4 linked regions of the Lytechinus pictus genome follow. The protein of the gene in region 4 binds, or shares a complex with, the protein of the main gene of each other region. Links are inferred from orthologs where the notes say so. Each region holds a gene or a part of one and is shown on either strand. Other genes may lie near its edges.

Region 1 (7,739 bases), about 18 Mb from region 4:
TGAAAAACAATTATCATAATAGTCAAAGAATCAGCAAAACATCTGAAGGTGCTCACCAAGTCTACAGAAGGATCAAGGGGTTCAAAAGTGATATAGTCAGAAACGAATTCTGCACAGCCGTCATAGTCATAAAGTTCCTGGTATGGTAGTGTTGTGGGTCTGATTGTGGTACAGACAAACTTTTCTACCCCACACTCATTTAGAGGGCACAGAAGAAGTGGTTTGCGGTCTCTGTAAAGATGAACATACTGTCGTCGGAAGTTTTCTGCATAAGCCAACACCAGCTTCTCTTTGTTGTCATTCTCCCTGTAAGTTAGAGGGTAGCTTTGCAGAGGAAGGTCTGAAGGAGTCCTGTAGGATTTTAAGAAAAAAATTGAATAAACATAAATTCTTGAATTCACAAAGGAGATAGAGTGGACTTCTGAAACTTTTTCAATGGAAAATTCCAAAATCCTTCATATAGTGAGTGATAGTATTAATGACCCGCCTTGCATTTAAGACTGTGAGTGCTACTGTATGCATCAGAAAATAATTTCAGATACTTTAAAGATAGAACTTCGCAACATCCTTCCAAGGGAGTTTAAATAAAAAGATGGAAAATGGTCAAAAAGTACATTTTCAAATTCTTTATTTATTTTCCGCTAGCATAGCGGATAGAGGTCTTGACAGCAGCTACATTGGTTTTGTTAGAGTCCCAAGCAAGGTAAGAAACACTAAAAAAAAAAGACAGGCCTGACAAAAGTTAGAGAAATATGAAGTGAACAAACCTGAACTTCTGAAGACAAGTCTCGACAATTGTCATTTTGGGTGGTAGGTGCATGGAACCTCAATGTTCGGCGGCCTTACTTCAATATTAAATTGATTATGGGGAAAAAGTTCCATATGCACCCCCACCAAAAATAACAAAAGATTGTTGAGACTTCCGGTTCGTTCACTTCAGATTTTTCTATCAATTTTTCACTCTTGCTTACCTTAGTTGGGACTCACCTCATTTTATCTGCAGTCTAGACCTCTTCCCACTATACTAGTGAGAAGCGCTGATACTGAAAGGGGTATTTTAATGATTATCAGCCAATAGGTTGACTAGTCTAGACTCACAGACCCTTCACTGACTAAATAAACCAATGTCTATGGACAATTACATGCACTAGATCCTGCTCAAAATTTGACGGAATAAAGCCATATTTTGGTATGTATTTCCACTCCTCCATCATATATATTCTATATTATTAGGTCTAGATATTAGGGAGACCGCAATATATTTCTATCTCATCATCCACTTCATTGGACTGTCTGATCTTTTTCAGATCTTGATGAAAATAGTTCAAAATAGAAATCTACCAAATTTCATAGTAATCCATGAATCGGTTTTAGAGTAATAATAAAATGAATTTTGAATGAAATTCAGCCAAATGCTCCCAATACTAGGCTCTGACTGTAGACTGTAGTATAATTTGTCACAACACACACGCAGCTGAAACACACGACCACACACAGAGTGCAGATATTTTGTGTGCAGTTTTGCATTTGGTCTTTCTACTTTAATTCTAAAGTGATAGAGGAAGGGTATTTTGAAATTAATTCTGACACTTGATCCTAAAGGAAATGTGAAAAATGAGTACCGTACTTCCATTGGATTTGCAATTATTACAAAAACCCACCAGTTTACAAAATATGGTTTACAAAATATGGTAGGCCTATAGCCTAATAGGCCTACATTTATTCACAAGATACAAAACTCTGAACTTCTTTTTTTATTGCCACATCAAAATTATGGCAGTAACCCAACGACATGTAAACTAAGGCATGTTGTAAGGAGGTTATTTGGAATTGGAGTACCGGTACCGGGTATTTATTCTCTTTAATTTGATACCAAAATCATTAAATTTGGATAACGGGATCATGTCAGAAATGCATTGAACTTTGATTTTTTCCTCAAAACTATGACCATTTTTGGCTGTGTGAATGCGGTGAAAAGGCTTTTCACCGCATGATCCCATTATCCAAATTTAATGATTTTGGTCAAAAGGGTGAAATTTTTTGCTCTGTGTGCATTCACCTTTAGTCCCTTCTCCACGTTTTTATTTTCAATTTTAGTGGGGGTGCATATGGAACTCTTGCCGATTATGGTTTAATTTGTATTCATTGTTAAGTCTAAATGTTAACCCTTTTCATACAAATGCAATTCATCCTTACATGTCTATTTTAGGAGGTTCTAAAACAATCTGGTCAAGCTCGTCTTTCAACTCGCCGACTGCTGCCAAAGCATCAGCTGGAATCTCATTCTCTGTGCCAGTTCCCTCTTCTAAAATTGTCCCATCATCAACTCCACTGTCAACAACTATAGATGGACCATCTCCTACTCCTTCCATGACAGAAATTTCTCAGGAAATTACCCTCTAAAAGTTACTGATTTGTTTAATATTTTAAGAAAAATGGAAAGGTCGAATTGACATTTGTTTTGAACGCTAGCTCTGCACGACATCACGGTCTAGTCTGACGTCTACTCACAGCTTATTGTATACAGATATCCCTGCACCATAGCAACAACGTATAATATAGTTCTTTATCCAGGCTCAAATATTGAGAAATTTTGAACTAAAGGAAATCCGAAAAACAATATTCAAAGGATTATTGAAATAAAAACGCATAATTAAACGATTTTAATGTTGATTTAATACTTTAATATGCGCGGAGGAATAACATATTTTGTGAAACACAAACTATATTACAGACAGATCGTTGATGGCAGTATATTTTTCATTCAGACAATATGGCAGCGCCCATGGCCATAGCATCAACACGCTGGCAGTGTTTTTCATTGAATCCCGGCTTCATTAAGTTCTGATATTTTCAGTGATAGATCATTGATTATATCGAATTTTGAGTTTCGTGAGTTATTCAGCCAACATTTTATGAAACCGTTATCTTTGTTTTTAGAAAAAAGGATCCTATATTATCAGTAACTGAAGCTAAAGCCTAAGCACACAAAAATGTCGATGTCGCATGAGTTCCCGTGTGTGTGGCGAATAGAGAAAAGGATTGCGCAATCACTCGGAAATGAAAACATCGGGGAGTTGGTGGAGGACAGTGAGTTGGAGCTCTGTGAAGAATGGATAAGGGAATTTGTCCCCAATGACATCGATCTGGACAAAGAGGGTAATGATTGGCCTAGTTATCCGAATTCCCTAGATAAATAATTAATTGGGAAGGAAGTCCATATTTAACATATTTAACAAGAGATGGCCTTGCGTTTTATGTTGGGCCCGCAAATACACTCATTCAATGAACAAGGTTATGATGCGCAAATACATGAAATAGGTGGTAACTGGTATTGTTACATTTGCATGACAAGCACAGACATGATTAATGTTATAAAACTTGAAATACATGTGCTACATGGGTATATTTGGTATCACATTAAAGGAAATCTTTATACCAATTACTTTAAAGATTAAAGGAATACACGAGATTACTTCATTTACCAGTAATTAGCAATTATGTAACATCAATTGGCCTTTTTTGCATGGTGGGTCAAATTAGTTTAAAGGATACCTAATTAAGCTAAATAATAGTATAAGTAATTGATGTCAATCATGAAATTAACACGATTGAAATTGTGGCTGTCTGATGTAAAGAAAATGAGGAGAGATAAAGTATAGTTGTGGGTTACACCTTAAATAAAATTTAGAAGCTGCAAAAATTTCAAAGGGAAAAGCACAAACTAAAGACTTCAGAGAGAAATCAATTTATTGTTAATTATGACCTCATGGTTTCAATTTTGACAGTTTAGACTGACAGTGATGACTTCAATGTGTTCGAATCTTCAGATTATTCTGGTAACATAAACACCAGTACACCTTTTATGCAATTTTGATTGCTGAAAACTTGTTTGGAGCAATAAAGACCTCATCTGATCTATTTTTTAACTCTTTTTTTCTTAATGTTACATCACACTGCGTCTATGAATCAGTAGATGACACATTTGGCTGGCACAAAAGTGTTCAGAGAATATTTTTCCCAATTATCAAAAACCTACTTGAGAACGACACTGGTACAAAGATAACTCTAAACAGAAGCAATTGTACCCATAGAATGTGTTTTGTATTGGCATTTGGTATCACATTAAAGGAAATCTTTATACCAATTACTTTAAAGATTAAAGGAATACACGAGATTACTTCATTTACCAGTACCAGTACGACCAAGAGACCATGTCCTGCAAGAGGATATATTTAAAATACATACATGGGCATTTTCACCACAGATGGACACAGAGGCAAAAAAATCAAGTTGATATTCATGTCAAATGCTTTATGTTTTTTAATAATACAAGACCTGAAGTTTCTGAGACAAAAAAATTTTCCGACTCTGGCAGCCATTTTTTATTTCAAAATGGCTGCCAATATATGGATACAAATTAGTGTTGAAAATAGTATATTGATACATAATTTGTTTTGACAGATTTTTAAAGAACAGGTTTGATCATGATGTTTTCGCCTGTGATTTAGCTTGCTATTATAACACTTTTTAAAATCCCACAGAAAGAAACACCAGTAATTCATTCATCTGATAAAAAAACATTGATGAAATATGTGATATGGTATGTAATGTCAGTTACCGAAAACATTAACTTTTTTTTCTCATTTCCTGGAAAAGAGGATATATTATATGAAACTTGGTGGATTTCCTCTCTAGGTAACACCCCTCCCTTCTACACCAAAATTAAAGATTACCAATTAACAATGAAGCCATAGCGTACCATTGAATATATGTAATGTCAGTTACCAAGTGGAAAATGTAATGTCAGTTACCGATATGTAATGTCAGTTACCATGATAAAACGTTGGTTACCAATATTGAAATGCAAATATGTGGTCAATTTTATGGTGAAGAAATATTGTATACTTGTTATTCAAGTCTTTCACTTTAATAGACTGGGCTATTTCAACGCCTAAGAAGACTGGGGGGGGGGCTGATTCAGCCCCCCCTTATGATCTCGGCCGTCGATTGCGCGATCACGACAAAAATTGGCACGCGCATTACCCATGGCATTATCTACAAAACTATAAAATCAAATTTTGCGAAAAATTTCATTGCTCATTAATTATGCTAATTTATGCGTAAAATCATAAGTTTGCTCTAATTAATAAAATAATGCACCTAAAATGCTTATTTTTGTTTCACATACTCTAGATAGGCATCTGATCAAATTTATTTTTCAAAATTTTCAACATTACATTTATTTTCTTATGTATTCTATTGTTTTCTAAATTTCTTATGTATCTCCTTGTTTTTCGACTTTTTGTTTTTTATTGTTTTTTCAATGGAAATCGTCAGGGACTTTATTTTGACCATAAAAAAGATAAAATTTATTTATTTTAAGCAGTAAAAGTAAAAATAATGATACATTTATGAATTTTGGCTAAAAACACCATTTGCATTGGATTTGTACACAAATTCACGTTTTTGAGTAATTTTAGGTCTGCATGCACTTACGAAATGTTGTGTAATTTTGGAACCGCGTACCCGGGGGTCACAATTTTGGTCTCAAAAGTTGCGCGAGACTTGAAAGTAAAAAGTCAGCGAGTGACCCGGTCAAAAAAATTGGCACGGCGGATTTATCGCGAAAAATGTCGAGGGTGGGGGCTGAATCAGCCCCCCCCCCCAGTCTTTTTAGGGTTAAAAGTCACACCAGAAGGAGCTTGCTATTGTATTGCCTAAATCTGCAGTATTTTTTAAGCTTAACATTGTGATGAAGGGGATTTCCCGGGTCGCTTTTTTAGTTTCTAGGATTCTTTTGAGCATTGCCTCGCTAAAAGTAAATTTCTGGTTTTTATGCCTGTTAGTAGTGTGGATGTGTGATACAATTTTTGTTTTTGGTTCATAAGTATAGAGGAAAAGTGAAATTTGACAGTTCTGATCAATGTTGCATGGATCTACTAAAACTTTTTTTTTTTCTAATTTACAAATAGTTCAGTTTCAGTTTAGAAGCTGGAGTTTATTTTTTGTTGACAGCTTAAAAAAGAAATTAGCAAAGAAAATGATTAAACAAATTATGAAGAGAATAGAAATCCGACAGATATGAACAAGCATTGCTTGCACTGACCAGAATAGAAATCAATAAAACTACATGGCTGCATGAGATTCGGGGGAGGGGTACGTGTAGCCTAGGGGAGGAGACCCTTATTCATTTTGCCTTTTTTGAGGGGAGGGGGAGGTTGGAGAAGGAAAAGGTTTAAAAAGTCGATATAAAACTGATGAATATATTATGGGTGTATAGTCCGAAAAATCCATGTGTACAGTCAATGCAATATTAAATTACTATAGCAAAACATGTAGCTGCTATGACCCCCCCCCCCCCCCCCCCGAGTAAGTAAAACATAAATTTCTTATCTTTTGATAATTAAAAATGTGAATTATTATGAAACTTTTATGATTTTAAAAAGCCTCACATATAAGTACCAAGAAAATTATGCCTTTGAAAATAATATAGCACTGGTAAATGTCAATGTGCATTGTCAGTTACTGACAAATTTGATAAAAATGTTCAAATCAAAGAATGGAATTAAGAAAAAGAAAAATAAAATTCATTGAAATGTTCCTAGAAACTCGGGTATACTTCCACACCAAGCTCACTTTCATGTGAAGCACTGCACAGAAGATACAATGCAATGATTCCACACATTTGACTTCCATGTGTTATCTCTATGGCAAATTAAGTGTAATGTCAGTTACCGTAATGTCAGTTACCAGCATGGTTGCGGAAAAATTATCATAGCCCTCAAAAGACAAAAACTAATTGTCTAATATTTTGACACATCTTAACCTAGTAACGGAGGTATATTTACATATTCAAATTATTACTCTATCTACTCAGGGACATGAGATATTTCAATTTCAATGAACACCCTAAAATTGCATGTCCTTTTTCGTAATGTCAGTTACCGACACATTTTTGCTTGCTGATGCGTAAAAAAATGTGGTTACATAGAAAAACTTAGTATCAGAGTATACAGCAAGGTTCACTTTATTAACTCTATCAAAAGCAAACTCCCATCATTTGTTGTTTTAGAGATACACACAATGAAAGGTGTGAAAACATTGTGCCATGTAATGTCAGTTACCGTGAAAATGCCCACATGTATAACACTATAAAATAACATAATCAAAGTATTTTTGCCAGGTGATAGATAAATGGATTTATTTATAACATGTTAGTTGTTTTTGTTCACACTAAGTTTAAGCTAAACCAGTTATGAGAAGTTTTCATTGTGCATTCATATCTTTTCTATATTTATGTTAAACCTGACTCTCAGTTGTCAACCTTTGGTCCACTGATCTTTGAGCCAAGAGATGACAAATCCCACGATTTGAGTCAAATAAAATAATTTTTTATTCATAATAACCACAGTAAATATATTATAATATACTGGTTAGTGTTTGCAAACTGTATTTATGCAACTACAGGCAAGACTACATAATATTTTTGGGGTAAATCAAGTATTGTTACATATTTACCCGAAAAATTGTGATGTAAAATTTTGTCTTAAAAGATGATCGCTTAAAATTATTTTGGTAAAAGTTATCCCTAACAAGTTATATATCATTGGAAAGGCCTCACTCTAAAGAGTTGAAATATGCATGTTATTTTCATATAGGGTGTAAAGTTTTTCTGATTTTAAGATTTATTGGGAAGTATATGTTTTCACAGTTTTTCACATATTTTGACCTTTAAC
Region 2 (6,988 bases), on a different chromosome or scaffold from region 4:
GGGGAAAACATACCCTAAGTACGTTACTACGTTTGGGTCGTCGTAAATAAAAACTTTGGAAAAAAAAAAACATACAAAATACCTACATTGACCCCGCGATTGACCATGACCAGTATTTCAAAACCACTTTTTTTCAATCGGTTTTTGGTACAGATATATATATTTGACTAGCCCCCATAGTAGTGGTAGTAGTAGAAGTAGTAGTAGTATAGTAGTATAGTAGTAGTGTGGTATAGTAGTAGTAGTAGTAGTAGTATAGTAGTAGTATAGTATAGTATAGTAGTATTTAGTCGTAGTAGTACTAGTAGTAGTAGTAGTAGTAGTAGTAGTAGTAGTAGTATAGTAGTATAGTATAGTAGTAGTAGTAGTAGTAGTAGTAGTAGTAGTAGTAGTAGTAGTAGTAGTATAGTAGTAGAGTAGTAGTAGTAGTAGTTGTTGTAGTAGTATATATAGTAACAGAATTAAGAGCAGTATGGTAGCAGTGGTAGTAGTGGTAAGTCGTTAAATTTTAATCACCAAATAGTTCCAGCTCGCACATCGTGCGTTCGCATCATTTTAGTGAAATCCATATCCTCTTCAAAATTTACCTCATTTCAATGTTGAACAGTGATTAAATGTTCCCTTTCGGTACTATATTATACAGATATTGCCTACCTAGAGTTTGAATATAACATTTCCTCTACCTGACGGAGTTATATTTTTCCCAAGGGATTATATTTTGCCCGAAGCGCGCAGCGCTGAGGGAAAATATTATCCCGAGGGAAAATTATAGCTTCGGAGGGGAGTTGAAATGTTATTTATTAAAACGATAGACCAGGCAATATCTGTTATATTATATAGTCTATGTGGATTCGCCATCAGAATTGCATTCATCATCTGGCTCAAACCCGAAATTCTTGCTACAGCTCTAATCCATCTACGTCATAATATATTTTTTTTTTAAATACATCAAGCGCGTACTTCATGCAATCGACGCGTTAACATTAGCGCGTACATCAATAACTACCTTGTTACGCAACTTGTATGCAGCGAGTGACGTCACCTTAGTGAATATAACGCCGCAATTGACAATACAACGCAGTATATTCCCTGAGGTGACGTCAAAACCTAGAATATAACAAATGCGATCCTCGCAGTTATGGTCACGTGATGGTGTATTGACCTATCACTGATTCGAATCTACATAACCTATGTAATATAACAAAATATCGGCTCGCGCTTCGCGCTCGCATTAATTGTCTACTGAGATACACAGCTTGCATGTTCTTTATTTGTAGGAATATCAAAAATTCACAGCTCGCGCTTTGCGCTTGCATTATTTGATGAGCAAATGACAAGCTTTTGTGATTGAAAAAAGTGCATAGAATCAGATTTAATGTCCATTTTTTTTCCAAAAAAAAACCAGACATCCGATGCAATCTAAAAACATCATCTCGCGCTTAGCGCTGTTTATGTATACTGAGAAACGGTTTTTTTTAATGATAAAAAAAAAGGCTGAAGAATGTCAAGTTTTCAGGTCGCATTATCAAAATATGGTACTTACTGTACATCCATTCAATTTGAGTGAGATATGTATCATCCTTATGGGTCACTGCAGAGAGTCCTTAATAGGGGTTCATTTTCATGTCAGAGTATCGAAGATTTCAGCTCGGGAAGTTTCGTACTCAAGTTAATTGTTGAGGATTGTAAAAATTGCTTAGAATGTCAAATATGCATGGATTCGAGGAAAGGGAAATGGAAGGAAAGGGAAAGGGAGAGAAGTGGGGCATGATTGGGAAGGGAAGAAAAATATTTATTAAAAAAAAGAAAGATGTTGCTTCATAATAAAGAGGGACACTTCAGTGACACTTTTCAGAAACGAGGAGGAAAAGCCTCGGGGACTAAGTTTGGGGGAAAACATACCCTAAGTACGTTACTACGTTTGGGTCGTCGTAAATAAAAACTTTGGAAAAAAAAAAACATACAAAATACCTACATTGACCCCGCGATTGACCATGACCAGTATTTCAAAACCACTTTTTTTCAATCGGTTTTTGGTACAGATATATATATTTGACTAGCCCCCATAGTAGTGGTAGTAGTAGAAGTAGTAGTAGTATAGTAGTATAGTAGTAGTGTGGTATAGTAGTAGTAGTAGTAGTAGTATAGTAGTAGTATAGTATAGTATAGTAGTATTTAGTCGTAGTAGTACTAGTAGTAGTAGTAAAAAAAAAAGGCTGAAGAATGTCAAGTTTTCAGGTCGCATTATCAAAATATGGTACTTACTGTACATCCATTCAATTTGAGTGAGATATGTATCATCCTTATGGGTCACTGCAGAGAGTCCTTAATAGGGGTTCATTTTCATGTCAGAGTATCGAAGATTTCAGCTCGGGAAGTTTCGTACTCAAGTTAATTGTTGAGGATTGTAAAAATTGCTTAGAATGTCAAATATGCATGGATTCGAGGAAAGGGAAATGGAAGGAAAGGGAAAGGGAGAGAAGTGGGGCATGATTGGGAAGGGAAGAAAAATATTTATTAAAAAAAAGAAAGATGTTGCTTCATAATAAAGAGGGACACTTCAGTGACACTTTTCAGAAACGAGGAGGAAAAGCTTAGAATGTCAAATATGCAGTGAAGGGGAAATTGATGCACAGGAGGTGAATCCCCTCCCATGAAGATAAATCTATAGGAAAAATAAAAAATGAAATGGTAGACGGTAGAAGAAAAAAATTGAAAAAAAAATAGAACAAAAAGGTAAAATAAAACAAAGAAGAGAAGAAAGAATAAATATAATATTTCGTATTCTCTCCGTCTTTCTCTATGTTCTCTTTTTTTTACTTTCCTTTCTCTCCTTTCTTTCTCCTTCTCTTCTCAACTTTATCTTGGACTTTTTTGTTTGTACTACCTTCCTTATTTCTTTTGTTTGCCCTCATTTTAAAGAGTTTTAGTGGCAAATTATAGCCCACATGAATTTAGATTAAAAAAAAACATTGTTAGCACGCTGCCAGTACTCACTCGCTTCATTTTCTTTCCCTGTATTTTAACCATCCAAAACCTGTTGTTGATCTGATGCAGTCTTTTATTACAGACTGCTGTCTATCGAATTGATTCATCAGCATAATTATGCCCGGGGGGGGGGGGGGGGGCAGTCAAATGAATTGCTGTACACACGCGTGGCCAAATTATTACCAAACACCCCCTAAACATTTTTTTCTCTGTGTGCAAAATAACCCCCTAAACAAGTTTTTCGCGGGATTTATTTACACATTTTGACCCCTAAACAAGTTGTCGCCAGAATATGACCGCAGGGAAAAAGCTTGGGGGAAAAAACATGCATGCCCTAAACACGTTTCAATAGTCTTTAAAAAAAGCTTTGAAAAAAACATACCCTAAATACGTTAGACCCTGCGATTGACCAGTCTTTCAAAACTACCCCCCCCCCCTTTTTTTTTTTTTTTAATCGCGTGGCCCGCGTCCAAAACTGAAAAAAAACTACCCCTTTAAACGCGTTTTTGGGGTCACGCGTGTGTACAGCAATACATTTGACTGCCCCCCTGCTCCTCTAAAATGCAGTATACTTTCACCAAGACGTGATTAAAAGTTTGTGTAAATTTTAAGATTCTGAACTTTCTAATCGTCTCTCTGCTTATGTTCAAACTCTGTACTTTATAATCGAGGAACAGTGTAACCGGTGGGAAGGGGTGGGGGGCTGGTTGCTTCTGGTCCTCTCCTCAACCTTATTCAATAATATTAACATGTACAAAAACGTGAAAATTAGTAAATTACCATAAAAATTTGATTTTCTTTTTGCATGTTAATGTTAACCCCCCCCCCCCCCCCCTCTCCGTTCCGTTCCATCTCTGATCTACCTCTTTATTATTTTGCTGTTTGTTTTTGTTTAATATTTTGTCTTTGCATGAGTACGAGTTGTCCCCACCACAGGCCTCAGCTTTGCCAAACTATAATGTATTTCACAATAGATGGCGCACGCGGAATTCCTTTTTTTAACATCCGGGTTATTTTGCATTGGTTTCTATGATCAACAACAAACAGTCAAGAGTTAGGCACAAGAAACTGTCGTATTTTTCAGCCGAAAGAGAACTAGATATCTACAATTCAAAATGGTGAGTTGTTAAATTGATCCATTATTATGTTTCTTAACTTACATTTTGTTCTGTTGTGCGATTTATTGAACGATTTTGTGTATTAAGTTAAAAGTAATGATGGCAGCAGGATTTATCTAGTTGATGCGGACTCTACCAAGTTGCTAGGCGGACAGCCCAGGCAGGCTGTTGGCTGTCGGTAGGCTGAGAATCTGCCTGCAGCACGCGCATCAGCCGATTTGCCCATTTTGATATTTGAAGTTTATCATGATTTTATTTCAAAATTCAACGTTTGGATTTGTTGATATGTGTGTGATACGTATTGATTTGGAACAAATTATTTTACCTAAATTAAATGTGGTAACAACATGCACACATTTAAAAAATCATTTTTTTTTATTATTCAATCAAAAAAATTTCACATTCATAGAATCATTCATACTCAGTTCACACAAAATGAATAAAAATCATTAATACCAAACGGAAGGCAAGATCCTAGATTAAAAATCACTTGAGGGCGAGGTAATTATAAAGTAAGTCAAGGGTTTCGCTGATATCATGATGACAAAGTCAAAATTCCATGCCAATCGACTAGTTCCAGGGCTCTTTTGACCATTTTTGGCCTGGGGCTAAATCGCCCCCAACCCCTGCGTAATATTTTTCCCTGGCTCAGAATGCAGTGCTTTGTCTGTATCACACTCAAGGTCATTACATGCCGCCACGCACAGAAAAATCAAGCCATAGAAGTTGTGTGTTGTGGACACCAGAAGTTGGGTCGCAGCACACGCGACCCACTGGTTAGAAATCCACTGCCAAATGCGGTTCATGGTGCGAGTTTAGTATACTATTACTAATACTAACCTCGCAATACGTGTGAGTGTGTCTGTATATGTGTATCTTTACCGTTCTAAGAAAATAACATTAACCTGCAATACATATATATATACAGATATTCCAAAATCTGACTCAAATTCTAAATGGTTGAAAAGGCATCTAGACATAATCTACAGTGGCTAAACTTACTAATGGACACAGACTCACTCCTTGCCCTTTCTTGAAAAAGTCTCAAAATTGGTGATTTGAAGCCGGTTCGCAGTACCCCACACGTATTAATTCACCGTCGAATCCAAAATGGAAATCGCGAAAGCATATTGCACACGGGTTGTGCGCAATTCGCATAATTTGCCATTTTTTAAACCCTGGCCCATGGAGAACCATTTTTACTCTGTTTTTCTTTTCTGTAATTTTACATGTCTAGTAGACATATAATTACTCAAGTTGTATTGTATGATGATTTGTAAGTCTTTATGGCTGAATAAATAATAAAAATGATTTGGGCTATACATGTAGATGCTACTTGATAGGCTTAATCTTTTAACATTTGTCACTCTCTGATGGTTGTGTCGGGAGTTTGATTGTAGTTAGAAATTGTTATTTTTTATTGTTAAACTTTTTCTTTTTATGATTATATTGATGATTGGTGACACCACATTAGCTGCGGGCTTAATTTCGTCTAAGATGTAGGATTAGGGGTAGGTTCGCAATAGGGTTTTATGTTAGGTTTAGGATAAGGTATAGCGTTATTCCCAGGGTTGAAGTTGGTCATGAATTAGATTAGTGAGTGGAATTTAGAATGGAGCAATCGTCGCTGGAGAAAATGTCATGGAACCTGATGATCATATGTTATACTGATATGAATACTTGTCATGCTAATTTTGGAAATGGTAAAGAGTAAATCAATTGGATAGATCTATAGACTCAATACTCGGTGCCAATAAATTTTATGCATGTAATGAGTAAAGAAAGATCTAACAATTATGGTAGATTTACTGATTATTTCATTTTTGTCTCGCCTGCATAGCAGAGCGAGACTATAGGCGCCGCTTTTCCGACGGCGGCGGCGGCGGCGTCAACATCAAATCTTAACCTAAGGTTAAGTTTTTGAAATGACATCATAACTTAGAAAGTATATGGACCTAGTTCATGAAACTTGGACATAAGGTTAATCAAGTATTACTGAACATCCTGCCTGAGTTTCAGGTCACATGACCAAGGTCAAAGGTCATTTAGGGTCAATGAACTTAGACCATGTTGGGAAAATTATTTTCAAAATCTTAACCGAAGGTTAAGTTTTTGAAATGACATCATAACTTAAAAAGTATATGGACCTAGTTCATGAAACTTGGGCATAAGGTTAATCAAGTATTAGTGAACATCCTGCTCGAGTTTCAGGTCACGTGACCAAGGTCAAAGGTCATTTAGGGTCAATGAACTTTGGTCAAGTTGGGGGCATTTGTTGAATTACTATCATAACTTTTAAAATTTATGGATCTAGTCCATGAAACTTGGACATAAGGTTAATCAAGTATTAGTGAACATCCTGCCTGAGTTTCAGGTCAAATGACCAAGGTCAAAGGTCATTTAGGGTCAATGAACTTTGGCCAAGTTGGGGGTATTTGTTGAATTACCATCATAACTTTGAAAATTTATGGATTTAGTTCATGAAACTTGGACATTAGGTTAATCAAGTACCACTGAATATCCTGTGTGAGTTTCAGGTCACATGACCATGGTCAATGGTCATTTAAGGTCAATGAACTTTGGCCGTGTTGGGCGTATATGTTAAATTACCATCCTAACTCTGAAAGTTTATGGATCTAGTTCATAAAACTTGGACATAAGAGTAATCAAGTATCACTGAACATCCTGTACGAGTTTCAGGTCACATGACCATGGTCAAAGGTCATTAAAGGTCAATGAACTTTGGCCGTGTTGGGGGTATTTTGTTGAATTACTATCCTAACTCTGAAAGTTTATGGATCTAGTTCATAAAACTTGGGATATAAGAGTAATCAAGCTTCACTGAACATCCCCTGTGAGTTTCAGGTCACAAAACCAAGTCA
Region 3 (7,637 bases), on a different chromosome or scaffold from region 4:
ACTTTGCTTTATTTTGTCTACCTTTTTACTAAATAAATCAATAGGCCCTATCCCTCTTCAGTATCCATTGCTTTATTTTGACGATTCCTAATTTACTAAATAAATCAGAATTGCATCTACTTATTTTCAATCTCTATTGCTTTATTCCGTAAACTATACTTTTCATATAAATAAATCAGGATTATATTCATCTTTTATGTTTCTCACAATATAAAATTTGCTTTATTTTGTCTACGTTTTTACTAAATAAATCAATAGGCCCTATCCCTCTTCAGTCTCTATTGCTTTAGTTCGTTGATTCCTAATTTACTAAATAAATCAGGACTGCATCTACTTCTTTTCAATCTGCTTTATTTCGTAAACTAGCACTTTTCATATAAATAAATCAGGATTATATTCATCTTTTTATGTTTCTCACAATATAAAATTTGCTTTATTTCGTCGATTCCTAATTTACTAAATCAATCAGAATTGCATCTTCTTCTTTTCAATCTCTATTGCTTTATTTCGTAAACTAGCACTTTTCATATAAATAAATCAGGATTATATTAATCTTTTTATGTTTCTCATAATATAAAATTTGCTTTATTTCATCGATTCCTAATTTACTAAATAAATCAGAATTGCATCTACTTCTTTTCGATCTCTATTGCTTAATTTCGTAAACTAGCACTTTTCATATAAACAAATCAGGATTATATTATTTTTCTCACAATATAAAATTTGCTTTATTTCGTCTACGTTTTTACTAAATAAATCAATAGGCCCTATCCCTCTTCAGTCTCCATTGCTTTATTTCGTTGATTCCTAATTTACTAAATAAATCAGGATTGCATCTACTTCTTTTTCAGTCCTTATAGCTTTATTTTGTTGTACTTTTTATGCTAAATAAATCTCTTTTCATATATATGTTTCTTATGATTATGCTTTATTTCGTCTATCACGTTTTTACTAAAAAATATAAATCAAATTGCATCTCCCTCTTAACAGTCTCCATTGCTTTATTCCTCGTGCTCCGAGTTCCCTCCCGGTGTTTAATAGAGTACTGTCCAATTTCTCATAGGAGGGGACTTGGATAACGAGGAGTACTTTTACTCGTCATCCAAGTCCCCTCTCCTAAAAATACAAAACGGCAATTAACCCGTTGATATTCATCTACCCCTCATTTCCCTCCTCTTCAAAACCACTCTGCCACTTTTAGACAGTTTCCTAGAGATGATAAATGAATATTTTTGATAAGAATCATTAAAATTAATGAAAATCACATCAAAAACTCTATTTAACTGTCTAATTACTCCTCGTGATCCGAGTTCCCTCCCCGTGTTGAAGTACTGTCCAATTTCTCATAGGAGGGGACTTGGATAACGAGGAGTACTTTTACTCATCATCCAAGTCCCCTCTCCTTAAAATACAAAACGGCAATTAACCCGTTGATATTCATCTACCCCTCATTTCCCTCCTCTTCAAAACCACTCTGCCACTTTTAGACAGTTTCCTAGAGATGATAAATGAATATTTTTTATAAGAATCATTAAAATTAATGAAAATCACATTAAAAACTCTATTTAACTGTCTAATTACTCCTCGTGATCCGAGTCCCCTTCCCGTGTTAAGACTGTCCAATTTCTCATACAGGAGGGGACTTGGATAACGAGGAGTACTATTACTCGTGATCCAAGTACCGTCTCCTAAAAATAAAAAAAACGGCAATTAACCTGTTGATATTCATCTACCCCTCATTTCCCTCCTCTTCAAAACCACTCTTCGACAGTTTCCTAGAGATGATAAGATGATGAGTTCTGGTCTGAGTGGCATTATGTTCACGCATGGGAATAGTGCCTTTTTCATTTCAATACATTGGCACAGCACATTGCACAAATAGCACAGACTCAGTTTTCGAACTTATCCAAGCTAGGAAGACAACAAGTCACTTGACTGCAGGAACAACTCTATTTTTCCAGTAGATGCGGTATAAAGGTATAAATGAATATTTTCGATAAGAATCATTAAAATCAATGAAAATCACATTAAAAACGCTATTTAACTGTCTTATTACTCCTCGTGATCCGAGTCCCCTTCCCGTGTTGAGACTGCCAATTTCCCATAGGAGGGGACTCGGATAACGAGTAATATGCTATCACTCATTATCCGAGTCCCCTCCTATGAGAATTTTGTAGTCTCAACATGGGAAGGGGACTCGGATCACGAGGAGTAATTAGACAGTTAAATAGTGTTTTTAGTGTGATTAATTTTGTTTTATTTAGTGTTTTTTATCATTGTTTCAACTTGGAAGAATATATACAGCCATAGCATAGGACTAGGTCTAGGAGAGAAAAGAAAGACTATTTTTGTCGTTTGAAAGTGTCAGGGTCAGTTGTTATTGTGTCAATGGGAAAACGTGTGGTGGAAGTCCCTGTTCAGTGAGAAGCTTCGCACCGTTTCGCATCGCGAATAGATTTCTTTTGAAATTGAAAATCTTCCAACCGTGGATTCCATTTATTTATTTGAAAGATTGCTGATATTTGAGATGTTTCTCAAGTTTGTCCCCAGTGACTTGGATGACGATAAGGCCTGTAAATTTATCTTTATTATTTCTTCCCTTTTAATACCCCGTCAAAGAGCAAAATTGGGCGCGCCAGCGCAGCGCCTGATCCCTGAGCCCTGGCCCGAGGCTGAGCTACTCAGGCTCAGCTAGCTCCACATGACATGCACAGCCGCGCAAGCGGGCCCAGCCCGGCCCGCGGAGCTCCAGCACGACAACGTCAACGGTCCGAGGCGCACGGGCAAAACTGTCGACTTGTCTTTCGGCTAAACTCAGTAGATCTTTATTTAAGTCCATTATTCAAAGACACATTCTCGCAGAAGTCATAGGAAAGAACATATTCTAAGTTATTAGAGAAAACCTACCTGTTATCCCTTACGCCAACACCATGAAATTGGGGAGATTTCCCAGGAAGTAGGCCTTTCTACCTGCTTGTTTACGTTGTTTCCAAGCTCTTCCAAACGAAGGCTCGATCAGTATTAGTATGTAAAAAAATAACAAGAGTCCATATGAATATCAATCTTGTTAGTAAATTACTTTTATTAATATAACATAAAATTTAAATAAATATTTTAGTTATTTTCATATCAAAATCATTTATATCAATAATATCTGAATTCAGATAATTTTACTATAGATTTGGCCTTTTTCTCCTCTGTTTCTCATACGAGTGGTAATGCACATTTTTACATGAAAATTCACACCTTCATACCCCCTAATATATTATTATACGTTCAAAGAATGAACTTTACTAGTTAGCTTTTTTATTTTACTTAAATGTCATATGTTCTACCATTTATGATTGCGCATTGAGAAGTAGATTTTGACCGATTGTGTGGAGAATACCCCCATGTCCCATCAACTCCTGTATGCGTTAGTACATGGACCATGGTCGACGTCATACGGGATTCTGTGAAGTGTGATGACGTTCATTCATTGCGTTTCCAAGAATCCCAAGTCGAACATCCAAGTTGGCAAATTCGACGGGGGGGGGGGGGGGGTGTCAGGAGGCATGGCATTTTGGCTCTAATAGTATTGTTTCTCACCAGCCGACTTTGTCGATAAAATTTCCTCACCACGCACCAGAAAATAAATGCAGAATTCAGAAATTGTAAGCAAAAAGTGCCGCAACAGTGCAGTAGCCACTGCAGTGACGGCCAACGGTGCATGGGCCTGGCAAGTCTCTCTGACTTTCTTTCGTCTCTGTCTGTCTCACTCAGTCACAGTCACATTTCAAGGTCAATAAGTTATGACAAAGACAATAATAAATAATAAAATATGCCCACTGCTTTTCAATATTGAAATCCGGAAAGGCTGTAACTAAGTGTAAGCTAGCCTAGCCTGTTATTGTGTAATTTGCCTTTACTTTAGTTTTTGTCTTCGAACTCGATGCGATGTCATTGTTCAAATTCTCAGTCAGATATGGTCATCGTTTATAAATATAGGCCCAAATGTGCTCCCAGCCATGCCAGCGTTCTTGCAAGGATTATTCTTACGCGTGTCGGAAACGTGCCGATTCGGTGGTGGCCAATTTTGCACGTGATGTTTTGATTTTCACATGCGCTTTAAATGATCCAAAGTCAAGTTTCATTGCCAATTCAATGTAGGCCTAATGTTTTAATCGGCGGCGCACACCAATACCTAAAATTGATATTGGCAAAAATATTGAAATGTTAAGTTGTTAATCTAAAAAATTTGGGGTCTTTTTGTCTGGAAAAATTAAAATATATTTGATATACCTCTCGTTGTGGACTCCCGTTCTCCAAGAAGAAATGTAAATCACCCATTAAAAACAAATAAAACAAAATACTAGTCACAAACATCTCAGATTAATGTACGATCTATCAGGACATGTTTTAACATTGTTTTGAGGTGTTGATGAGTTGAAATGTATGTGATATACCTTTCGTTGTGGACTCCCGTTCTCCGAGAAGAAATATAACTCGCGCAATATTCTGACAACGGCGGAAAAGAAAATAGAAGTCACAAACATCTCAGATTTCTTTGTTTTGATTTTCAGCTTATTTGGCCTTCCTCTGTACAAAAAGTATGGGAGCTCTTTCTATTTCAGACTTTTTCAACACTCTTCAGCTTTTTTCAGATCTTTTTATTTGTGACCACTCACACCCCTGAAAATCAGATGTAAAATAAGAAAGTTATGACATTTTTAAGTTTTGCTTTATTTCATATAACAGTTATATGCACATCCTGATCGGTATGCAAATGAGGAGACTGATGACGTCATCCACTCACTATTTCTTTTGTATTTTATTGCATGAAATATGAAATGTTCTAATTTTCTCCTGATTTTCAAGTGAAACAACGATTTATTCCCCCTGAACATGTGGATTAAGCATTGTTCAATACTATATGGTTCAGTCAAGTCGGTCCTTGTTTTTAAAATCTGTAAAAAATGAAACAACATATTATTCAAACAATAAAAAACAAAAGAAATAATGAGGGACATCATCGACTGTCTCATTTACATGTCACCGAGTTGTGCATATCAATGTTTTGTGAAAAATAAGCGAAACTTTAAAATGCCATAACTTTTTTATTTTACATCTGATTTTCATGAAATTTCACTGTTATGCTGGTTTGATTTTTTTCTATTTATTCAAATCAACATTTTTCTGGGGTGGACTTGACCTTTAAGCAAATTTCCCCACAATTTGCCCACCGCTTAATAAACGTCATCGTTTAAATTCTCAGACCGAACTAGAGGTGCTGGTCAGAAAATTGGGATCGTCCCAGTTTTCAGGGACTGTCTGGGTTTTCAAAGATTTCTCCACACAAGAAATTTATTTGTGTTCATTCACCTGTCAAGTGCTGACGCCAATTAAGTGCGCTAGTCAATGTAAACATATCCAGTTTCATTGGAAGATGGCAGACGGTGAACCAAGGGGAATTGAGGTCACTGAATCTAGTTTTGAGCACTCTCAATTAGAGCTCTGCATGTACATTGCACCATTGTATCGGCACAAGTTTGAATCTTACTCTTCAGAATACTGAGGCACACATGCGACAGATATGAAATAATGGCTCAATTAAATGTGTATTTTTGTTCCTTTTACATACAGAGTTATTGGCTGGAGTTGGCAAGATGGTAGCATCCAAAAGGTCAGTGTCAGTTTCCAAATTTCTGATGAGTTCCTTTCAAATTGTGAAGGCAGCAAGAACCTGTTTCCCTATCATTTTGTTTTATTTTAGTGAGCCCTTAGACATGCTCTCTTATGGAATATTGTGTACTCTATCTAAATGGGGTTAGTTAAAATGCAAGTATTTTCAACAGGCAACAGTGATAAGAGGGTAGATTGGGCTAGTCGTAATAATTGAGATGCGCAGAGTACGGTAATCATACTAAAGCTCGCATAAGGCAACTTTCAACAAGTCAAATGATTAAAATCAATTGCCCAAGTTAAAGCTGTATTCTACTGCGTATTTCAGAAGATACCTATGGTCCCAAGGCAGACATTTGTACATCACATTTTGGTATTTAAATTTTCTCTCTGTGTGACTTTACTTGTACTGTGCACAATTGTTGCTAACCAATCGCAGCTACCTTGAATTTAACTTGGAGCATAATTGATTGTTAAGTCTTGTGTGACTTGGTCTATGTGCAACACAGGTTATACAGCAGGGCAGTTTTCACGGGTTACAGGAGAGGACTCCGCAACCAGCATGAAAACCAAGCTCTTCTCAAGCTAGAGGGAGTAGAATCCAGAAGGGAAGCCACCTGGTATCTTGGCAAGAAGTGTGCCTACGTCTACAAGTGCAAGAAGTAAGTTCAATAGGATACTTCCAGAGATGCCATCTGGGGATTTTTTTTTTAATGAAAAATTGCAAGTTCCATGGAAATACCTTTTCCACAAAGTTGAATTGTATTATTCACAATGTCCTCGTACTGAAAATTAAAAATAATGTTTTTCTACCCTCAAACTATTGCAATTCATTTGACAAGGTTGGCATCTCAGTACTCAAGATGCAAGTGCTACAGAGCTGGTGTCATTGTCAGGAGCAGAATTTTCTTGTGACAGAGAGCAGTTGCAGGATTATAAGATATATTTGAAAAAATAGAAATGATTTTTGTCAGCCATGAATTGGGGAAATATTACCCAGTGAAAATTGCTTTTCTCAGTGCAGTAGTTGAATGGGGGAAAGTAGGCGTATTACAAAACTTGCTTGACTTTAGGTTTTATACAAGAATATTCCATGCAAAGTCTCATGATTTAATGCTCAATCTTTCAAAGTATGTGCAATGTAAAATGAATCAAGCAGTTAATATCGAAAGTCAATCATTAGCAGACCAAGCCTGGAGCATGTTTTAATGTAATCTGTGCCAGTATGTCTGGGAGAAGTAAGGAAGGGATATTGGTATAGACTGTTGAACCAGAAGTTACTCTGAACTGTATGAGCATGATACAGGGTGTTCGTTTGTGTATAAAAACCATGAGATGGAATAATTTTGCTTTACAAATTCGAGTAGCATTTTTGGTCATAAGAGAAAAGCTCTCAACTAAGTAATGTACAGTCCTTGTAAAAATATGCTATACAAAAGACTTTATGCATGGCAGTCTTTAAAAAATGTGGAGCGAATTGCGATGCGATACCAGGAAAATTATTCCCCTGTGAGACCTGGTAGAGTCCAGGTTTTAGAGAAACTATTGAAAACCCTTTTTAAAAAGTAAGACGATCCTAAGCTTGGTTGAATTTTTCTTGTTCGCCTTTTTTTTTTATCACATTCCATGACAAATCACAATGTGCGAGTCAATTAACTGTTTGTAAATTCTGTAAGACTCAATTTGTGACTACACTCTCCCTTTGATTTCTTCGCAGCAAGACGAAGTGTCCCGGCAAGGACAAGCCAACCAACACCCGTGTGATCTGGGGTAAGATCATCAAGACACACGGTAAGAGTGGCGGCTGCAGGGCCAAGTTCAAGAGCAACCTTCCCGGCCAGGCTATCGGCAAGAGGATTAGGGTGGTAAGTAGCTAGGAGATTTGTTTAAAAAGGGGGCAAGTCCTTGTATGAGTTACAACCTTCAGTTTGATTTCAAATCTTCAGTATGATTGCCGACTGATATATTTATTGTCT
Region 4 (7,392 bases):
ATTCTAACTAATTCTGTGCTCCCTCAATAATTCAACCCTGGATCCAGCCCAGCTATACTGCTACAATGAATACTAAAATTTGTTTTACATACAAGGTGCTTGAGAGCAAAAGTAAGCGATGCAATGTTGACTTGCGTAAGTACCTGCAAAATTAGTAACAATATGTGTTACACAAAGCTCTGTCAGGAGAGGTACAGTGGCCAGTGACCAATCAGGATCCTCTGCAATAATGCGTCTCATATTACGATTGTCAGCTGCCGGATTAGTCTTAGCACTAGTAATGGGTGATGGTATAGACCGCTTTGCACTCCTCCCTCCCCTCTTTGCACTATTAGCATTGTTATTGACATTGCTTGTAGCATTATTATTTGCATTTGCATCTCCTTTCCCCCCTGCTGAGGACGGCTGATCTGAGAGAGGTGGTTCTGTTGTCATTATGACAATGTTGTTGTTGTCGTCATATAAAAACAATCTGAAATGAAGAAATAAAAAAAGAAAACAAAGGATTAAAAATTATAGCCTGGGCTTGTTTTATCTGAAGTCCTCTTTTAAAGACCTAGACTTGACCCAAATAGTGAAATTTCCTAATCATATTCCAATCAAAAGCTGAAAAGCTACTGAACACAGCAATGAAAGATCTATCCTTACCAGCTGCTTATTTAGGTTAAGAAAAACCCCATATACTGGGCTTCAAAAAATAAGCTTCTTTGTGTCTTTCACTGGCGGGAAATTTCATAAAATATGTACGTCCGACCCCCGAGACCTTAATTAAATTGTCTGTCTCTGATTTCTTGATCTTTTGACAGTCTGTAAAGTTCTCAAAGGACCATAACTTGGTCAGCTTATGAAGTGAAGTAAGACTTGAGAAAAATGGGGGTGGGATGTACAAAAAGGTTGATCATTTTATGGAATTGCCCTGGCCTAAAACACGTGACATCATGTGATAGTAGCGATGTGATTCCATAAGTTTGTAATAGAAAAAAAAAGGAGTGATTTTCCCACTTAACAGATTACGCATTCTATTTTCTACACTTCCATCAGCCACCCTTATCATTTACAGCATGGTACCCCAAGTCTGACAGTGCCCCTTGTTTATGTTTGTCTGTCCATATGCATATCTGCGTAAATTACATAGTCAAAGTCAAAGACACACAACGTCCACAAAGTTTAGATCTATACCTGCAAAACATAATCAGATATTCATTAAAAATAGGTCAAAATTGTGAAATAATATTGAATCTTAGCTATTTCATGTTATTATTGTTATTTTTTTAAACAAGTGCACACCTAGACCAAAAGCTTCGGTCTCTGTTATGTTGGTTGTTCCGCTGAACTCCGTTGGCTCCACTCACCAAATACAGAGACTGAAGTTCTAGCGCGATCTGTACAGGGGACTCAATGGTCATATGTTTATGTATTAAGTTCGGATAAAACAGGGAAGTGAAGTTGCGCGACAGCCGAAGTAAGTCACTGTTTTTTCCCCTTTTAAGTTTATTTTTCCCCATGTTGGTGCATTTCAGGCCAAAATGGAATAATAATCTTTATTTTGGTACAGTTCTTTTTGTATATTTTTATGAAATAAAGACAAAAATCGATGTGCCCCGTCGGGGGGATTTTGCATTGTTAATCATCTAATGGTGGCTGCACGATAGCGAGCGGTCTGTGTACAAGGAGAAATTTAAACAAAATAATGTTAAAAAACGCCTCGAAACAGACGGCTGCCAGCTGTCTAGTGCACACCTAGTTAATGCTTAAATAATTTTTATCTAACATTTATTTGAATGCAGGATAAAATTAAAAGAGCACTAGTGCATGCTGTGGCAGGGCCAGGGGATTGAACTCCAGACTTTCCTGCGCCAGGTGCCTTAGACCACGGCATCTCATGGCCTCATGCAACCTCCCCCCCCCCCCCCAAGTGAAAATGGGTGCGCAGATAGCCTAGGCTAGTATATATGCCATGGCCGGAGCCGGCCCAGAGGAACCTTTTTTTTTCAATCTGAAAATGAAAAGGAGAGACACTTTGGAGGAAAGAAGATTAGAATAAACATTATAAAGGTAGTTTGGGGGGTCGGGTGTCCGGACACTTTATATTTTTGAAGCCTTCTTTTTTTTCTTTGGATTACACTAAAAATACGAATTCAATCGTTGTAATCATCTTCTATTTTGTTCTCTATTAATATTTCCTAACATTTTGTACTAAAAATTGATGAAACTTCGCTTGTAAATTTTTCCAAATGACTTTCTAAAATTGATCGTCCGGACACACAACAACTGGGTATACAATATCAACTTCAATTTTTGTAGAATTTTAAAGAAATCGATGTTTAATCTTCAGTTCAAGTTTTAGTTAGGTGCGTAGACCCCCCCCCCCCCCCCTTCGGCTTTTTCAGTTTCATAGTCATACCACCACCAGCCCGAGGTGGACAGAGCGCACAACGACACTCAAGCCCCCCAGCGCAGCGGCGGCGGAGTTTTTGATTGTGTGGAGGTTCATCCAGTACCGTATCCGCATTTCGTCCGAAGCAGACAAATACTACGGTCCACTTTTATGTTCTTTTTCTTCCTGCTCACACAATATTATGACTGGAGATGAACACACATCGCTCTTAAATAATAATGAAATCTAGTTGATAATAAGAATGGACGTCTCATATTTTAACAATATTTCTGTTACTTACCTGCCAAAAAATTACGTTGTTGATACAGGTTGCTGTGACAACTAATTGGAAATGCGCATGCGCAAGATGAAAATTTGAATATTCATATGGCCGATCTAAAACGAAAGAAAATCCACTCTGACTCTGCCGCCGGTCATTTTGAAAAAGCAAGTAAGATTTACCTTTACATGGATTCTTAACATTCAATTTGGTTTGTGGTGGGCCGTGGTGCTTAATTTAAGCCAAGTTTAAAATAATAAGTTTCGAAGTTTGTTTGAACTTGTTTTATCCGTGCAGTAAACTAAGAAGTTTGGTCATTCATTTTCTTGCATTGTCCCACACCTTTCTATCCATGTACCGTAAGGGCACTAGTATTCAACCCGTTTGGAGAGTTTCCTCAAATATATAGAAATATAGAATTTACCTGAATTTCAGACCCGTTTTATTTCCAAGAGCAAATGCTGGTTATTCTTTTTCCGTTATTTTTTTCTTCAACCAGTTGACTATGTGCGCGGGCGATCGAATTATACGGCGACGGTTTTTGGTACTAATATTCAACCCGTCGGTACTAGTATTCAACCTAGCGATGAAAGATGGCCCTGTCTCTCAATCTGCCCTTGTCCCATCCGACTATGGACTAGACCATTTGAGATGAGACCAAACAGGGAATTAATCAAAGCCAGAGACTTACATAGATCTAGATCTAATTTAGCAATCTAAACCCTTTTGAGATTTGCTATCAATCCTCACTAGGTTGAATACTAGTACCATTCAGTGCAAAAGGCCATCGCCGCATAATTCGATCCTCCGCGCGCACAGTCGACAGCTTGACAAAGAAAATATCGACAACAGATTACCCTGGAAATAACAAAGGTATGAAATTAAGATAAATTCCCTATTTCTAAATATTTTGGGGAATATGTCAAAATCTTCGAATTATGCCGGGTTGAATACTAGTACCCATACGGTACTGTATGTAAATACATGTACGCACAGCTTTCGTAGCGCGCCGTAGTTAGCGGCCGAAGTTAGCTAGCGTAGCCGTAGGCTAGCTGGCGCGGCCGGCCGGCATAGCCATAGGCCGTAGGTAGGGTAGGCAACGCCCGGCACCAGGGGCCCGTTTCTCAACAACATAAGTCTAACTTCTTGACTAAATCGGAGATAGTGAGCTACTTGTCCGCTAACCGTTTCACGAAGCCCTCTTTACCAAGATCGGGTACAACAACCTCACTAAATATTTATGACACCTCCGAACCTGTCATAACTTCTTTCTTAATGACGTAGTGGCATCACGTGGGTAGACTATGACATGCAAAATTGCCTCGAAATTTGAAAATTGTAATCTTACGTAATCATTCATAGAAGTTGAAATTACATTGCAAAACAGGTGTGATAGATCATTCAATAGTAATTGTTATGCACAGAAACTATCAAAACTGTTGGTAAAACGCAACAAAACCACTCATTTTAAAATAGTAAAGTAATTGAATCGATAAAGATTCTACCACGGCAGGTCATCCATAACTGGACTCGTATTCGTCGTTTTCAAACACTTATCAACATTTTTGATAAATTCTATCTCTAATTTATGCAAAGAATTTGTCAAATCGTGTGTTTCGGTATGTAAAAAAATTTAAAAAAATTAATTTAAACTATATTTTGATGATGTTTGGAACCATAAATAAACGTATAATTATCATTATTTTACAAACATAACAATTGTGGTTTACTTTCGTAAACTATCAAAATTTACTATCCCGGGGATACCCATCTCATTGTCCCCATGTGATTTTTTAGTCATGAAATGATATATTCATAATTTGATTTTCTCAGCAATTAGATGCTCAAGTCTTCATGGTTTAAGTATGCATGGTTCATATTTTGCCTCTGCTATTATTTTTATTAGATGTATTTCCAAATTAATCACAATAATTGCAGTTTTATCACATTTTTGCTTTTCAAAAATTATGCTATTTTGTGACTAAGGCTACGTCTCGTCTGCTCTTTTTAACGATAATATCGATATCAAGGTATGCTAAGTTAGGAAGCCTTTCGAGAAACAGGTTTAGTAAGATTGGAATTAACTCCGTGGTTGGTGGATAAAGATAAGACTAACTTGTCCATGTGTTGAGAAACGGGCCCCAGGGGCCCGTTTCTCAACACATGGACAAGTTACTAGTTAGTCATATCTTTATCCACCAACCACCTGACCACGGAGTTAGTTCCAATCTTACTATATAAACCTGTTTCTCGAAAGGCTTCCTAACTAGAGAAGTAGAATACCTTCTTGATATCGATACTATCGGTAAAAAGAGCAGACGAGACGTAGCCTTAGCTTAGTTTTTAGTCGCAAAATAGCATAATTTTCAAAAAGAAAAATTATGAAAAAATTGCAAATATTATGATGAATTGGGAAATAAATATGTTCAAAATAATAGCACAGGTGAATTATGCATCATGCATACTTAGACCATGAAGACTGGAGCATACAATTGCAGAGAAAATCAAATTATGAATAATTCATTTCATGACTAAAATTAAAAAATCACTTGTGGACGTTGAGATGGGTACCCCCTGGAGACCCAATTTTAATAGTTTGCGAAAGTAAACCATAACGGTTTTCTTTGTAAAATGATGATAATTATACGGACTTTTACGATTCCAAAACGTCATCAAAATATAGTTTAACGAAACATTTTTAATCATTGATACTGAAAGATACGATATTGGACAAATTATATGCATAAATTAGAGATAGAATTCATCCAACTGTTAATAGGGTCTGAAAACAACAAATACGAGTTCAGTTATGGATGGCCTGACGTGGTAGAATCTTTATCGATTAAATCATTTTACTATTTCTAAATGAATGGTTTTGTGGCGTTTACCAACAGTTTTTATAGTTTCTTTGTATTACCATTAAGCCCGAGTCGAATCGATTTTAAAATTGGTGTTCGATCGATGTCATCGAGCGCCGGTGCAGATTTTGCAAAATCGGTGCATCGAAAAAATAAAAAATAAAATACGTCGGCCGGCCGATTCATTTGGTTCACACAATCAATCATCAAAAATCAAAATAACAGTAATGTCCAACTTGACTACTACTTACTTGATTTATATTGCCCTCAAAATGAAACCCATTGTGTAATTATGATGCCTATTCACCATTAATTTGAAGTTTATTTCGATCATAGTTCGAGTCTTACTCGTCTGCTCGTGCCGAGATAATTTATGCACGATGAATTCATGAATGAAAGTCATCGCCATCGATCGTGCATGCGCAGTACTGTGCTTTAATCAAACCAGAAAATGGCTGGAAAATTGGCGCGATCAACGTAAAATAAATCTTGCTTTCATGAACAATATTAATATCATGACCTTAGAACACGATTTAATCGTAATAATTAACAATAATTCGCATATGATAATCATTAATATGAATTTAGAGCTTGATGTGAAACGTTTGTATTTCGTATCAATTTTCAATTCACGGACGTCACATGACTATCGACTTGAGTGAGTGCACTTGTCTAAAAAAATAATTATCACGTCAGGATTGATTCTCGAACATTGTCAACATGCAGAAACTCTTTTCAAGATCGTAATATCACCATATAATAACATTTTACATGACAAAACAGAGAAAATTGTGTTTGATATTTTTACCCATCAATTTGAAGCTAGTTTGTGCCCAACTTTGGGCTCTGATTTCATGAATGGAAAATATGTCATACGTCATCGAACGCGCATGCGCATTGTGCTTCTTTTCTCGGAGCTCGGAGACGTCGTCCAGAGATGGAATAAAAATAAAGATACTGCCAGTATAATACTATTAATTCTTCCATATGAACATAACATACTTTGCTGACATTGTCATTATTTTTAGTATGGCCATAAAATCTTATTAAATCGTAATTATTTAACATCCAAAGACCAACAATAATTTATATGAATTTAGAGCTCGATCCGAGACATTCGTATTTATTTCGATCGCATGCTATTGTGTCTGACTCTAAAATAAATGGATTATCAGGATTAATTCTCGAACATTGTCATAACTCATATTCCACAATATTTCCTCACAATCGTTATATCAGCATTGAATACCAATTCAAATGACCATCCACAGAAAATTACGTATTTATTACCATCAATTTATTTGGAGCTCATTTTGGATCTCAGGCAAGTTACAGCGCTCTCCGCTGGTCGCACTTGTTTGCTGGCGCTGGCAAGCACGCCTGTCGTTTCGGGAGAGTGAGTGTATGGGGCCGGGCTTGGGACGGGGCTGGTGTGTGCGAGTCTGGACTGCGAGTGCTAGTTGACCGAAAATCATTCGGATCGACTCTGCGTGATTCATGTCTTTAATATTGTTTCATTTTAAACTTATATGTTGTCATCTGCAAATATCATTGTTAGAGATATTTTGGGAAGAATTCTGCATTGGTACCCGGCCTTTTTTGTGTTTTGTGATGATGGAAAATACAAACGAAATTTGCTCCATCATCTGCTTGTGCAACGCTCACCCGGCCAGCGCATACCGTCTGTGCATGCGGTGCGTGCATAGCGCATCGGCGCGACGGCCGGAGCAAACAAAAAATGACTCGGTTAGCGGACAAGTAGCTCACTATCTCCGATTTAGTCAAGAAGTTAGACTTATGACGGTGTTGAGAAACGGGCCCCTGATTAGTGCTGTAGATATTTGTCCAAAAAGTCAATAGGTGAATTTGGGAAAGAG

Evidence for each region.
Region 1: dynein regulatory complex subunit 5-like (region 4) and dynein regulatory complex subunit 7-like share a complex: the UniProt entries of both Homo sapiens proteins name them as parts of the nexin-dynein regulatory complex. The link is inferred for Lytechinus pictus from reciprocal best matches to the Homo sapiens genes DRC5 and DRC7.
Region 2: dynein regulatory complex subunit 5-like (region 4) and dynein regulatory complex subunit 4-like share a complex: the UniProt entries of both Homo sapiens proteins name them as parts of the nexin-dynein regulatory complex. The link is inferred for Lytechinus pictus from reciprocal best matches to the Homo sapiens genes DRC5 and DRC4.
Region 3: dynein regulatory complex subunit 5-like (region 4) and dynein regulatory complex protein 9-like share a complex: the UniProt entries of both Homo sapiens proteins name them as parts of the nexin-dynein regulatory complex. The link is inferred for Lytechinus pictus from reciprocal best matches to the Homo sapiens genes DRC5 and DRC9.

Annotation. Positions count from the first base shown.
Region 1 is NC_087251.1:24,802,657-24,810,395, reverse strand, and holds the start of dynein regulatory complex subunit 7-like, read right to left. Parts: upstream 2,994-7,739; 5' UTR 2,373-2,993; coding exon 2,197-2,372; intron 352-2,196; coding exon 57-351; intron 1-56. Other genes in the region: tetratricopeptide repeat protein 27-like, read left to right, coding at 2,994-3,159. UniProt on the Homo sapiens protein: Component of the nexin-dynein regulatory complex (N-DRC) a key regulator of ciliary/flagellar motility which maintains the alignment and integrity of the distal axoneme and regulates microtubule sliding in motile axonemes.
Region 2 is NC_087246.1:38,474,921-38,481,908, forward strand, and holds the start of dynein regulatory complex subunit 4-like, read left to right. Parts: upstream 1-3,988; 5' UTR 3,989-4,103; coding exon 4,104-4,106; intron 4,107-6,988. UniProt on the Homo sapiens protein: Component of the nexin-dynein regulatory complex (N-DRC), a key regulator of ciliary/flagellar motility which maintains the alignment and integrity of the distal axoneme and regulates microtubule sliding in motile axonemes.
Region 3 is NC_087260.1:6,704,293-6,711,929, forward strand, and holds the start of dynein regulatory complex protein 9-like, read right to left. Parts: upstream 3,024-7,637; 5' UTR 2,908-3,023; intron 1-2,907. Other genes in the region: large ribosomal subunit protein eL33-like, read left to right, coding at 5,646-5,662, 6,171-6,323, 7,379-7,526. UniProt on the Homo sapiens protein: Component of the nexin-dynein regulatory complex (N-DRC), a key regulator of ciliary/flagellar motility which maintains the alignment and integrity of the distal axoneme and regulates microtubule sliding in motile axonemes.
Region 4 is NC_087251.1:6,709,585-6,716,976, forward strand, and holds the start of dynein regulatory complex subunit 5-like, read right to left. Parts: upstream 3,020-7,392; 5' UTR 2,679-3,019; intron 473-2,678; 5' UTR 436-472; coding exon 144-435; intron 1-143. UniProt on the Homo sapiens protein: Component of the nexin-dynein regulatory complex (N-DRC) a key regulator of ciliary/flagellar motility which maintains the alignment and integrity of the distal axoneme and regulates microtubule sliding in motile axonemes.